Diceros bicornis minor: one gene and its partner. Each later gene encodes a partner of the first gene's protein in a complex. Links are inferred from orthologs where the notes say so. Each region holds a gene or a part of one and is shown in the gene's direction. Other genes may lie near its edges.

Region 1 (7,388 bases):
CCGGAGAAGCGGTGCGTTGGCGCGCGCCCGGGATCCGAACCCGGGCCGCCAATAGCAGAGCGCGCGCACTTAACCACTAAGCCAAGGGGCCAGCCCCTCCCTTGCATTTTCATGTGAATTTTAGGATCAGCTTGTCAATTTCCACACACAAAAAAAGGCAGCTGAGATTTTGATAGGATTGCATAGAGTCTATAGAACAAACAGGGGAGTACTGCCATTTTAATATTGTCTTTGCTACTATTTCTTGATGAACTACCTAGATAGATGATGATTTAGCTTCATTATAAACCCTGTACTTCGCTCATGTCTTCCTATCCTCTCAGTATAGCCTAATAATTCCTTGCTTCTCCATGGTTAGTTTTCCTACTTCTAACAATACATTTTAACAACCATTTCTGGTTCTGCCAACTATACACACAATCTCTTGAATGCTTCTACCTTTACCTCTACCTTTCCTCCCTACATTCCACATCTAAAACTGTCAGCTATACTTTTACCTTTATATTGTCAACATTGATATAATTTATAAACTATGCTTTAACTACAGCAAGATTATCTATAATTTATTAATAGGTCAAGTCTAAAAGTTGAACGCCAGAAAACAGCATTTTCTAAGCTTTCTATCATAGTAATTAATTATTCAGTTGAATTCTCTCTTTTTCAGATTTCTCTCCCAGAACTCCTATCCTTCCATTCCAATCTGGCCTTGCTCTTGGGACTTTTCCTCACTGTTTTCCTGAATTAGATCTAATGATTCCTGGATATGATGTTGTCAGATACCTGTTTTCTACCTCATTTTCCTCAAGCACATCTTCAAGTAACTCTTTCAAAAAAGGGTACATAGGAGTTTAACTTAATGAGTCCCTGCATATCTGAAAATATTTTCATTCTGCTCTTTCACTTAATGATAATTCAGCTAGGTATAGAGGGTTTTTTTGAAAATTAAAAATTTTTTCTTAGAATTTGAAGTTCAAAAAACATTTCTCAGAAACTTGAAGGTCTTTGCCTGTTATCTTCTCATATCTAGTGTTGCTGTTAAGAATTCTAATGCTAGCCTGATTCTTGTTCTTTTATAGGTCACTTTTTTTTTTCTCTTTGGAAATTTAGGACCTTCTCTTTATCTTTAGAGTTATAACATTTCACAAAGTTGTTTTTTCTTTGTTTTTGCTCTGCACTAGTGGATGCTTTCAGCTCTGGAAAATTTTCTTCCATTACTTTTAGGGTAATTTTCCATTATTTATTTACTTTATTTTCTCTTTCTTTTGTAATATTAGTCCTGTTGGATTAACTCTCTATTTCTTCTATATTTTCTCTTGCAATCTCCATCTCTTTGCATATTTCTTCTATTTTCTTTAAAATTTCATTGACTTTATGTTTCAACACTTCAAGTGAATTTATAATTTTAGCAATTTCTTATTTCTAATTTCAAGACCTACTTTTTATTTTTGGATTGCTAATTTATCTGAACATACTGTTCTTATTTCATAGATGTAATATAAGTCTGTAAGCATACTAATTAGTTCTTTTTTTCTTTTTCAGTGAGGACAATTAGCCCTGAGCTAACATCTACTGTCAATACTCCTCTTTTTGTTGAGGAAGATTGGCCCTGGGCTAACATCCGTGCCCATCTCCCTGTGGGATGCCTGCCATAGCATGGCTTGATAAGCAGTGCATGGGTCAGCAACCGGGATCTGAACCTGCAAACCCCGGCCCACCAAAGTGGAGCCCCCGAACCTAACCACTACACCACCCAGCTGGCCCTCAATTATTTCTTTTTAAGTTCTCTGAAGTTTCCCTTGTTTCCTCTGTGGTCACATTTTCTTTTTATCCTCCCCCTCCCCAACAAATTGGAGACTTCCCTTAAATATCTAATAATCCTTGGTGTCTGTTCATATTTAAGATGAGGTAGTTGGAATACTGATTAGGAATCTTGTGAACTTGGGAGGGTCTTTTGAACTTGCACAACTTCACTCTAGGGTAAGTGGATAGGAAACTGGCTATTGTGCCAGAATGAAGAATGCTTTACTCTGAGTCATTAAACGCGCAAATAGCTGCCCAAGTCCTCCCCAGAGATTATAGAACTCTTGACTTTTAGCTTGGGATAACTGCCTAGCTATTGTAGCTGAGATATACAGAGGGTTCTGCTGTTCTGTATAGAAACCTTTATTTAGTCTCCGTGTTTTCAGCCCTGCTTCTCACGCTTGCTCTCTCTTGTCTGTGTCTCCAAATTTCAGTCTCCCTAAATCATCTCTGGCAGAGAGGCCCCCTTCCTTGGCTGCAGCACCTCCTACACCTATTCCACACTATGGTTCCTTCCATTTTGTTTAGTCAGACTGCACTCACTTTCTGTGAGTAAAATTTAAAAATAAATTATCTTTTGGTGGCCCCCTTCCCATTTTCTATTTTGTATGAGTGTGCATCATTTTTTTTAATTATCATTTTATTTGGGGGTCTCAGGAAGAAAAGGCAATGAATGTATGTGCTCAGTTAGCCAGCTTTAATTAAAAAAATCCTAAATGTAGGTTAAAAAAAAAGATATCTGAGGCAGAGTAGGAAATAAGAAAAAACAACCAGTGGAATGGCAAAAAAAAGAAAAATTCTGAGTCTGTGATATTGACAGTATTCCTGTGTATATATAACTTAGTGCATAGCATCTCAAACTCTCCAGATCTACACATTTTAGGGCTATGATGGATCTCAGACATCTAGTTCACACCTCATTTTACAGTTAAGAAAAGTAGGACCGAGAAGCAAAGTGATTTCCCCAAGGCCGCATAAGTAGAGAGTGGCAGAATGAAAACTAGAAGGATATGACTTCCACTTTATTATTTTTTTTACCTCACCACTCTGCTGGGGAGTAACAGGACCGGCACATCAGCGGCCAGATGAGAAAGATCCTGAAAAACAGTCAAAGAGGGATGGCTTTTCCTGGGCCAATAGCTAGATGCCCAAGAAAATGAAATATTTCAGGTTGCTTATTTGGGAGCCATATAGTCAGTCTCCTTCTCTGGCAGCAGCCTAACAATTGGTAGCCATATGTTGAATGTGCTGAAGGGGGCGACTGTACAGCAGGACAGGGACCTGCAAGAATCCAAGTGTGTGGTGATCCTATGAGGGAACAACTAGAAAGCCTGGGCAGGATGAAACAGTAGAATTTGGTGAAGAATGAATGTGAATACTGAGGAGAAACGGGAAAATGTTAGTAGGATTATGAGGGAGCGTAAACTGGTTAACTGCGGTGGCGGAAAGTAGGGGTAAAATGATGACTCAATTCCTTTCAAGGGCATTTTAAATTATTTCAATGAACACTGGAGCGCTGGGAATAAATACAATTCACATCACTCTTCCTTTCTTGGTTTAGAGATAGCTTATCGACATCCTTAATGGATGCAGTTACCCTCTTTGCATGGTTCCGACAAAAGAAAACCCGACTGCGATTCAGCACAAGAGAACTGGCTTGCCTGAAACAAGGTACCAGTTGCCTGGTAGACTTGCCTAGCTGTGGTGAGGACTCAGTAAGACACTGTAGCACCGCATTTGGCACATCGCAGGTACTGAACCTGCACATTAATTTCCGCCCACGCTCTCCTCTCCTGCGACAATCACTACAGAAAAACGACGCACACTGGCGTGGTTCTTCCACGACGCCTGAATTCTTTCCTTAGGGCCGTGTGGACAGTCCCGAGTACCTCAGATCATATTACTAGCTTCCGCGGCCAAAGCTAAGGGTGGGGAAAAATCCAACTTCCCTGGACAAAGGGTGCCCACTGCGGCCGCGGGCGCGCAACCGGGAACGTACTGACAGCCTTAGAGCTAGCCCCGACGGCGCCGGCGGCCCCGGGGTTTGTCTAACGGCCCCGGGAGGGAGGGGGTGGGGCAGCTCTAAGGTCTGGGAAAGCGACGACTCCGCTCTTCGGGCCTGGCCCGTCCACTTCCTACGGCAAGCAGAAGGAGACAAGCGCCGCCTTGCCTCGCTCCCACCTACCGCCTCTTCCCGAGCCGGCTGCGGCTCTCCCCTCCCGCGGCCTCAGGGGCCGCGTGTGTGTGTGTGTGTGGGGGTGTGCGTGCGTCTGCCCCGTGCCCGTTACTCTGCTTCGGCGCGCGGCCACCGCCGGGACCCTGCGTCACCTCGCCGCCCTCCCCTAGGAGGCGCCGGATGCCAGCGGGCCGCCGAGCCGTACTCCCAGGAGGCTGCCAGAGACAGAGGCGGCCCGGCCCGGAGGAGGCGGAGCTCGCGGCGCCTCGCGGCCGGGCCTGGGGGCGGTGCTAGGTGTCTCGCGCAGGGGGCGGGGCGCGGTGACGTCTGCGGGCGCCGGGGCCGTACTGTGGCTGTGGTGGTGGGGGCGGCGGCGGCGGCGCCCGGGCGGTAGCAGCAGCCGCGCTGAGGAGGGTGAGACGGCTGCGGTGGCGGCAGCTCGGAAGTCGGGTGGGCCCTAGAGCTTCCCGCCTTCGCAGGCGCTGAGGCTTTTGCCTTTTCTTCGCCTGCCTCTCCCTCACGGCCCTGGGTAGGGCAGGGCAGCGCGCCCCCGGGCAGGGGCGGAGCTGTAGGTGAGGCTTCGGGACCCCCTCCCCCTCCGCTCCCTGCCGGGGGGATGGGGAAGTCCGGGAGGGGCGGGCCCCACCCCAGCCCACCGGGGGGCTCCACCCGGCCGGGCTCCGGGTTTGGACGGGAGCTGAGGCGATAGATGTGGGGAACCCGGGGCGGGAGGTGGGAGACGGGGGCTCTGGGCGCTCGGAGAACCGAGCGGGGAAGGTTTATGAGGCGTGATGTTGCGGGCGAGGTAGTGGCGAGATGGAGGAATTGGGGAGCCATGAGGAGGTTGGGGTGCGGTCAGGGTAGATCTGGGTTTAGGTGATTGATGTAAAATGTTGAAAGAGGTGAGAATTCTTTTTTTTTTTTCCCTCTGTGTAAATGGTAAGATAGGAGGTGAAGGGTTGTATTTCAAAAAGGTGAGCTGTGGATGTTGCCTTTGAGGCATTTGGAGAAGCGATTGCACTCGGTCTGACATTTCTACTTTAGGGTTTTGGTTATTTTTCTTTTTATCATCCTGGCGGGGGGTGGGTGGGTGAGTCCCGGGGGGAGGAGAATCTCTCTGCTTTTGGCTCGGAGTGGGTAAATTATGAGCGTGGATGGATTTGAAGTTTTAGACCCTTCAAGAAGAGTGATATCTTGGGTTGACAACTTCATTCTGGCAGCAACATAAAGGAATAGGTCCCATTACACTTAGTTCCTTAAAGGTGTTATCTTCCAGTCTTTTTTCTGTACCTGAAAGGTCTCTTTATACCATCTCTTTTACTAGCTTTATTCTGGTCCCTTACGAGAAGGCCTGAGAATCAAGTGGTTGCTTTGGAAGACACATTTCTGAGTAATAGTTGCAGGTGGTTGTGGTTGACTGCTTTGGATAGATAAATGAACAATTTGAACAGTTCTGTCGAAGCCAATTATATGAAAAATGCTTAAATGTTTTAAAGCACTGCTGTCTTTTACAGCTTGTTTTTCAATAGACCTGATGTTAGACATTTTAAGTCTTCAGCACTTAATTATTTGAGATTATTTTTATTTCTCAATTGCAGATGTCTTTATTAGACACTTTGAAAATGAAGTGGAATAATTTTTTTTTTCTGGTAGACCTCTCAATTTCTGAGAAGTGTTCTTGGAGTCAAGGGCTTTTAAAATGCTCTTTAATAACATTTTTGGGGGCATGTGTCTGTCACTTCATAGGGAGATGTTACTACAGTAAACAGCGTTCAGTGTTCTTCACATCAGTGTTTCACAACTTAGCACATCAAATCAGAATCTTCTTTTCTGGACTCCTGCTCCCTATTAGGTTATACTATCTAATAATCACTGACCTTACCTATCAGTGTCATTTGAGCTATTTCTTGCTCAGAAAACAGGTCATGTAATGAACATGTATTATGTAATGGATGGAAGTAGGCATGACTCTCAATAATTCATTTATGGAGGAAGAGAAACCGTCATGAAATGGAATTTAAGCAGTGACTTTCCCAAGGCTTACTCAATTTATTTGGGAACATAGCCAGAGAAGTGCTTTCCTGTCACCCAAGAGAGAAATATACAGATGTGAGTGTCAGTAGTTGCAGATCATTGCCTTTTTTAACATGCCTACTTAATGAGCAGACTATTATCTTCTAGCAAATACTTCTGCTTGAAGAGACTTATAGGAAGCAGATGATATAATAGCTATTAAGTGAGAAAGGGTGTGGTCCAATTTGTAATTATAAATAAAAGATTTAATTAACTGTATTCAGACAGATCAAATTATAAGTTGGTACAATGAATAGTTTTGATTTGGGATTACTTTGATGGAAAAATTAAAGTTCATATGTCTAGTTTTGACTTTTAAATTTTACTGTGATTTAATTGGGTACACGAGACAAATTCGAACTAAGATACTGGGTGAAACTTGGTGCGTATATTGCTAAAATGACATTTGCATGGCTGACTGTGGGATGTTATTCTTCTTGTAGGAATGAAATATATGATTTGAGGGAAAGTGTAAGGTAGAAGTGATCTATTTCTCTTTAGAATTTTTTATACCTAAAAAACCCGCTACTTTTTATCTTTCAAGAAATGTCACTTTTTAGTCGTTACTCTGATATCCTTGTTGAGTCTACTCAGGTGTTCCTTTTTTTAAATTACTAAATTAAGATAAATATGTCAGTCTGTTAATTCAACATTAATACTGAAAACAATTGAAGCTTTTAGCAACAACTGCTCCTCCTCTACGATATGTTTATGCTTTTAGAACTAGTATAAGAGCTGTTAAATGTGTGTTTTACACATAGTGTATCAAAAATATTGATGGAGAAAGACCAGGAATGAAGTATTTTGGTTAATCAAATAATAACCAGTACATTGATTATCAATTTTAAGAGAAATATAATGTAATAAAGTAAACTTAGCATAAAGGTTATGTGGAATATGATTTTTTTTCTATGGCTCTTCAACATCTGAGCCTTAGGGCATTGATTCATTCATTTATTCATTCAACAGTAATTTATTATGGTTCCAAGTACTTTTTTAGACATTGGGGATACAGTAGTGAACAAAGTTGACAAAAATCCCCACCTTCATGGAACTTACCTTCTAGATACCTCTGGGGAAGTAAAGAGGAACCCAGCAAAGGAGAATGATAAGAGGTCATTGAGTTAGCAGGAAAACCAGGGGCGTGTGATGTACGAGAAGTGAAGGAAAGGAAGTTTCAAGGAGGAGGGAATGATCAACTGTGTCATTGTTTAAAGATGTGTCAGAGTGTTGGGTAAGAGAGAATTCTGCTTGATTATAATGTCTAGTAACAGAGAAATGACTAAATGCTTTTCAGTGGGAGATGAGACAAATGTAAGAATCTTTCAGTTTTTTACTT
Region 2 (7,160 bases), about 24 Mb from region 1:
TCAGAAAGGTAAGTTGGCGGCTGGATGTAAAGGCCTTTGGATGCCAGTCAAGAGAGTTTGGGTTTTGTTCCTTGGTGAAGGGGAGATGTTCAAGTGTTTCAAAAGGAGTCAAGAGTGATCAGGACTGGGCTGTAGAGAGCTGTAGCTGGAAGCCTATAAAGACCAGACAGGCAAATGACACACTTTGATGAGTCAGGTGGGCCTCTCCCGGCATCTGCATCTAAACAGAGTAAGTAGGGGATGCGTCCTTGTGCCTGCACAGGCTTGAGGATGGGGTAACAAAAAGAGTCAACCTGCTTCCTGTTATTTAGAGGGTAGAACTGAAAAAGGATAGACCGTGGACAATCAAAGCTTTAGATATATAAAGAACAAATGGCTTGGAGTCAAAGAGACCTTGGTTTCAATCCCAGTTCTGGGTGTTCTGGAGCAGTTTACTTATGTAACCTTGCTGAGCCTTTGATTCCTATGTTAAAATGGGGCTAATAAAGCTCACCTTAGAGGATGGTTGTGAGAATTAAGTGAGACACAAGACAGAGGTCTTGGGGCAAGAGTCAGAAAAGCAGGACCCGGCTCCCTAGGAGAAAGATCTTTAGTGGTGGGCTGCTCTCCTAGCTCGTGTGCTCCTTGTTGCCAGATAAATTCAAACAGGGGCTGGAAGGCTCCTTGTCAGGAGGGCCGTAGGAGGGGTTCTTGCATCCAACAGGTGCTTGTGTCACATGACCTTTAGGGTCCATTTCAAGTTCTACTTTTGTTGTTCTCTGCAGGTTTTCTCCTGCTTTCACAGGTTCTCCTCCTCTCCCCCACCCCGCAGTGATAGTATCTGGCAAAATTCATAGGCAGAAAATAGCTATCTAGACCTACAGAGCTAATAAGTGTTGAAACCACAGGAGGTGTAAACTTTTCCATTAAGCCAGCTAGAATCCAGGGTAGTGGGTAAACTCTGGGTATCTGCTCAGCAGGTATCCTATTTCGCTTCTGCTGCATTGTCCTGATCCTTTGGGGCTTCCCCAAGATACCAAGGCCAGTGGTTTCAATATATTTATCTGAGTGTTAGACTCTCTTTTTAAAATGAAGCATTATAGTGGAGCCTAAATGTAGAACAGAGAGGAGCTGTAACACTAAGGTGGAGGGAAAGCTGGGGTGGAGAGGAGACTGAAGTCTCCCTCACTGGTTCCTTCCTCACCCACTCTGGAACCCCTGGTTTGAACCCTACTGACCCAGCCCTGGACTGTTTTCAGCTTTCCTTTTGAGTCTTTTGTTTTCTGGACTCTGATGGCAGCTGTTATCACTCCAGCTGCAGAGGGGATGGGAGGCAACTTCCTGTTATTCTATCCTGCCATCTCTGTGGCGGTGGGACATTCCCTCCCCCATCTGCTGCTGGTTGTAGGCTGTGAGCCTGGATGCAGCCACCCTGTGACTGGGGCTGGAAGAATGATGGTAGCCACCCAGCCACGGCTGAAGGCACTTAGGGAGCAAGGCAGGCAACAGGTACAACAGACAAGTGTGTCCCTGACTGAGGGAGAGGGAATGATGAGTGGCTAAGAGGCAGGTTAAGTGGCTGGTGCAGAAAATATCTGAGGAGGTTAAGGGTTGTTGCATGAATGGTGGGAGAGTGGGAAAAGGGAAGGACTGTGGCCAAAGCATAAAAAGAGAGGGAGAGAGAAAAAAAGAGATAATTATGGTTTCTGGCTATAAGATTATTTGCAGGTAGGGTACCTTTAAGGAATGGAGGGGGTTAGAGGTGACATGATGATAAATTTTCTGTAGTCCTGTATTTTTATTGAGTTTTTTCCTTGAATTGGGTATAAAGGATACAAAGAGGTATTAAGTATGGAGCTTGCTCTTCAGGGTTTGGGAAGATAGGAAATGTATACAACTGGACATATACAATCATATGTTTACACATCTATACAGTCTCAATTAACCTTTGATGTGAGTATTATCAGCCCCTTTTTACAGAAGAGGTAATTGAGGTTTCTGATGGTTGTTTTAGTGACTTGGCCAAAGTTACACAGCAAGTAAGTGGCAGAACCCAGCTATGGACCTCAAGCCCTTTTTCTGTCCACTGTAGCACACAGTGAGGACAAGAACTTTAATTAGGCTTTGAGAGAAAGGTGTGACAGCACATAGAAGAATGGGGATTCCACGTAGGCCAGAAGGTGAGAATCAAGTGGGGATCTGTGAGTAGACCAGTTTGACTGCAGCAGAGGATTTCCCAGGAGTGAAATAGAAGATAAGGTGGGAAAGGTAAATAGAGGCCAGATTAGGAGAGTTTTAAATGGCTAAGAATTATAGGGAAAAGGGGGCCCAATGTGGAGGGGAAGATATTGATGGCAAAACCAAATAGTTTTTAAAAACTCACTTGGTAGTGGTGCATAGAAGGACCAAGAGCTGGGGAAAAATGGCATCAGAAATATGTTAGGAGCTTGGAATTGTGTAGGTCTGAAAAACAGCACCATGGTACTAATATAGAGTGGGTCTGTGGATTTTTTTTGCATGACAGTGTTTGAATGGGTGTAGATTGTGAGCAATCACCACTTTAGAGTAAAGAGAAAAAAATGGCTTTGGAGTCACATGGGCCTCAGTTTCAACCCCAGTTCTGGGTGTTCTGAAGCAATTTACTGCCATAATCTTGCTGAGCCTTTGATTCCTTATGTTAAATGGGGCTAATGATACTCGCTCTACAGGATGGTTGTGAGGATTAAATGAGACACGATGTTGGACTCCATGCATCCTTTTACAGTTTTTAGCAGAATGGTGAAATGCATGACATGTTGTCATGTATCAAAAAACAGACAATAAAGGGGACGGCCGGTGGTGTAGTGGTTGGGTTCGCCCGCTCTGCTTTGGCGGCGTGTGGTTCACGGGTTCAGACGCCAGCATGGACCTAGGCACAACTAATCAAGCCATGCTATGGCAGTGTCCCGTATGCCACATAGCGGAAGATGGGCAGTTGAAGATGGGCACAGATGTTAGCTCAGAGCCAATCTTCCTCAGCAAAAAGAGGAAGATTGGTAAAGGATGTTAGCTCACGGCCAATCTTCCTCACCAAAAACAAAAAAAACAAAAAAACCCAGACGATAAAAACCAACAGAAAGTCAATAATTAATTCATTGTCCTTCCAGAAGATGATGGATAATGCGTTACTTATATCTCATGTCAATAGAGCCACTTTTCACCTTTCAGTTCTGCATTGAATCGGATATTGGGCATATTGAAAGGACCATCTCCTGAGAAGCATTCTGTTCTGCTAGCCAAGGGGACTATACAGCATGATATCCGTCAAGCTTAAATGTTAGTTAATTCTTAATTGATAGCTCAGCCTCTGCAACCGCTTCTATTCAACAGTAATTATTCTCATGTGCCTCGTTGAACCCAATTGTGAGATCCTCCCCCCCCCCCGCCGCCGCCCCTTCAGTTGTGCGTGAAAACAGCAGCCTTAAGGTCCTGAGTAAGGTAAATAGTAATTTTTCTTACTTTGGAGGTTCAATTTTATTTGCCTGAAAGCTCGGGTGGAGTGATTTTCATCGCTAAACGCAAAAGCAGCCACATGGTTGATAACGCCACCAGTTAACAATTCATTGCTGAGTCGCCGTTTCTGAGATTCCTTTCCAAATCTTCCCAAGTGCTTTTGAAGTTGTAAATTCCTCGTCTAAGGGAACACTCAGCAGTCTCCAGATAAAAGGGTAGAAGAGCGAGCTGGCGTTTTCCTTTATTTGCATGACTTCAAGCTAGCCATTTTCCGCTCCACGCGCCGGCAGACCGTACTTGTCCGTGACACAGAGGCAACTGTTTTTCCTTAAAAAGGGGGCACGGGTGGGTTAGTTTCGTTTCTGATCTGGGATATAGTAAATACGCCAAGAAAAGTTAACAGGACCCGCAAGGTTCTTCCCCCATCCCATTATCTCCTTTTCCTTAGAGATAGCAGGAAAGGCAGCATTTTTTTTTCCATCAGCACCCACTTCCAGCCCTAGTCTGGCTCAGCGAGGAATGTATAAAATGAGTTGACTCCTCTGAGTGACTGTCCCCGGGCCCAATCAGCGGGAGCCCGGGCGCGGCCGACCCCACCCCCTTGCGGACTCTCTTTGGCTAATTCCTGCAGGGAGGGAGGAGAGAAGGCGGCAGTGGGAGGGGGAGGTACCTGGAACTGGGAGTGATGTCAGCTCCCAGCTCGGAGCCTGCCCGGATTCCTGACATGGTGTAGGGCCGAGAGGGTGGGGAAGGCGGGGGCCGGACGGCAAAGGATTGGGGTTTGCGAGCCTGCTGCGGGGCTCCAGTGTTGGGGCTTTGAACTCCGACGGAAGGTGAACCAGAACTTCTGGAACTAGTGCCAGCGGCTCTCCACCCCCCAGGTAAGGGCGTTCGGCTCCACTCGGAGACCGGAGGGAAGTGGCACCGTTGTGTGGTTGCAGCTGGGTGTTGCAGCTGCTCCTCCTCTTCCCCGGGTCGATTTCCTTTTCCAACTCACTCCTGTTTCCCAGTGGGAAAGGGCACTTTTGGTGGTGCACGGGGTAGGGCTTACTCCTGGGGTCCCGACTAGTTTATATGTGAAAAATACCTCCAGGATTGGACATGTAAGGTCTTGTCTGTGTCCTTAGACCCCCGCACCCTAGTCTCTCTCCCAGTAATACTTGAGAACCCCAATCAGAGAAGTGTGTGTCTGTGTCTGTGTGCGGGTGTGTGTGTGTGTGGTTATTTAAAAATGTCACAAAAAGTTATGAAATGTCGACTCAAAAATTATGCTCTTTGAGACAACAAAAGTTTTGTGTTTTTTAGTTCCCCTGTGACCTATTACATACTGATTTAAATGAAAGAGTATTATGGTTATTCTTATACAGTCTTATATATCAACATCATAAATCCTTTTATATAGTCCAGTCAGGATGTGAGAAACTCACTTGGGGTGTATTAATTATGAGCTTGTGGGAGAACCCGTCTCTTGGGGGCACACTTCTAAAACTCCAACTCTTTTTCACTCTTATGTTTTAATTGAGTGCCAGATCACTTGAGTGATCTGGAGGGTTGGGGAAGGCTGCTGAGAATCTTCAGATCTGTTTTCTGTGGCCACTTGAGAAAAGGATCAGGGCTGGTAGTTGTGTTTTCAGGGATCATTTTTAGAGAAGAGAGTTTTAACAGGGAAATGTGGCCAGAAGGTGTGGCACACAAACTCTTAATTATAGGAACATGAATTTTTCAACATGTGGAGCCAAAACAAATCCTTCCTTTCAGTAAGAAAGTGCAAAGAGCAGTAGAAGGAGAACTTGATTTAGCGTTCCAGTTTGGCATTTAGGGAAAGCAGTTGCCTGTTGGGAGGAAGATTTTCAGAAGTGGAAGTATAGAATTCTGATTTTTTTATTTTCTGTTTCAAACCCTTTCTTTCTCCTGCTGGGAGATTTTCTGTGCCCAGGTCACTAACTGGGTGTGACTGACTTTCAGGGGCAAAAAGTTAACTCCATCAACTGATTCAGAACCCTCACTTTTCAGTGCTTAAGGCTCTGGAGAAGAAAAAAAATGTATGGGTGAGATTCCTGAGTCAAGTTCCTTTTTCTTTCACCTCTGTTCCTCAGCAGTGAGGATCCTTCTGTTACCAGATCAGGAGGAAACGGGCAGACGTGGACTCTATTGTGAGTCAAGGCTGCATCCCAGGTGCCTGAATGAAAGGGCATTTCCAGATGAGGAAAGAAAGAAGGCACAACATTGCATCTAAGAAACCCAAGTCGGGAAGTGTGAAGTTACAGGACTTTATAAATGGAATTCTCCATCTTTCTAGCCAGATGACAGGTTTCAGGGCTGGAAAGAAGTGTTTTGTTTTGCTGTTGTTTATAAAACACCCGGGTCTGTATTGTTCTTAGTTCCTAAAAGAATGAAATAGTACAGGGTGGATAAAAGCAGGCTCTTTGCAAAGGGAAGGTGTGCTCTACTGGAAAGGCCAGACCATTTTAATTTTGGTTTGTGTTTTGGGTTAGGAAACAGAAATTGCCTAATGGCTCTGAAATAATGGTGAACAAGTTTTTTCTATTTATATTCTATAGGAAGTACGTAAAACATACTGTATTTTCCAGGGTACTTTTTCAGTAGGATGGAGAAGGAGATGATGTGGAATTCCTGTGGGCTGATGTGGGCTCTCTGGAGCCTGTGGCTGATGAGGTGTTCAGACTGCAGTCCCTCATAGCCAGTCAAGTAAGGAGCATCTTTATGATGTTACCCTGATGTACCAAATTCAGATTTATGCTTTCTTTCCAAAAAACCAGCCCTGGCTTAGGGACTTGATTATGCCGAAGCTTTAAATTTTATTCACAGTTTGAGTAATAACAGTCATTTTACATGCTTAGATTTAACCAGTATTTCTCCATCTTGGTCCATGTTTATGAGGTAGATGTGGTGTAGTAAAACACGGTACTTTTAAAGGATAAAATTTGAAAGACCTATGTGTTGTTGAGAGAGGTAGAATCAGGTTTTGGTTAAATTCTCTTTGACCAGTAGCTCTCATAGTTCTAGTAGCTGCTTTAAAACAATAGGATAATCTGGCCTTTGTGGACAAATGTTGACTTGAGATCCAGGCACAATATAGTTCCAGATCAGTAGTGCCTAATTTCAAGGGCATCGTAAACATTTTTTGGAAACAAGTTCGGTGAGAGTTCATTAACTCTGTTCTGGTTATGGAGTCTTTGTCACTCTTTGTACCAACATGAGATAAATCAGAACAAGGTCATTTTTCCCCTCAGTTATTGACTAGCTGACTTGTTTTTAAGACCTGTCTTTCATATTCATGAAATATTTGTATTTTTGTACTTAATTTAGAGTATGTTGGTAATTTGTTACATTAAAATTACCTTTTTGAGTTTTTCGTCTCCCATTTTTAAAAGTACCTATATCCCAAATAGCACGTTTTTTAAACTGTTAATGGAAAGAAGACCTCATTCATCATTCTGTCTTTTCAAAGATATTATTACATGTTTCTGACCTGGTTTTGAATTACGTTTTCAAAACAATGAATGGATGAGGGAATGAGTGAATGTATATCCATTCACATTTGGGTCTGTGTATTGATTCTTTATTAAAGAAACACTGCTTCAAGGTGAAAACATAGGCAAGAGATATTGCACAATGGTGATTTCTTATTCCCAGAGTTTTCCCTAAAAAGTCGTATTAGTTCTGAA

Evidence for each region. The genes of interacting proteins can lie anywhere in the genome.
Region 2: ERC1 (region 1) and PPFIBP1 share a complex: the UniProt entries of both Homo sapiens proteins name them as parts of the cortical microtubule stabilization complex. The link is inferred for Diceros bicornis minor from reciprocal best matches to the Homo sapiens genes ERC1 and PPFIBP1.

What each region holds. Positions count from the first base shown.
Region 1 is NC_080756.1:59,588,388-59,595,775, forward strand, and holds the start of ERC1 (ELKS/Rab6-interacting/CAST family member 1), read left to right. Parts: upstream 1-4,367; 5' UTR 4,368-4,390; intron 4,391-4,412; exon of another isoform or gene 4,413-4,548; intron 4,549-7,388. UniProt on the Homo sapiens protein: Regulatory subunit of the IKK complex. Probably recruits IkappaBalpha/NFKBIA to the complex. May be involved in the organization of the cytomatrix at the nerve terminals active zone (CAZ) which regulates neurotransmitter release.
Region 2 is NC_080756.1:35,554,475-35,561,634, reverse strand, and holds the start of PPFIBP1 (liprin-beta-1), read left to right. Parts: upstream 1-4,137; 5' UTR 4,138-4,352; intron 4,353-7,160. UniProt on the Homo sapiens protein: May regulate the disassembly of focal adhesions. Did not bind receptor-like tyrosine phosphatases type 2A.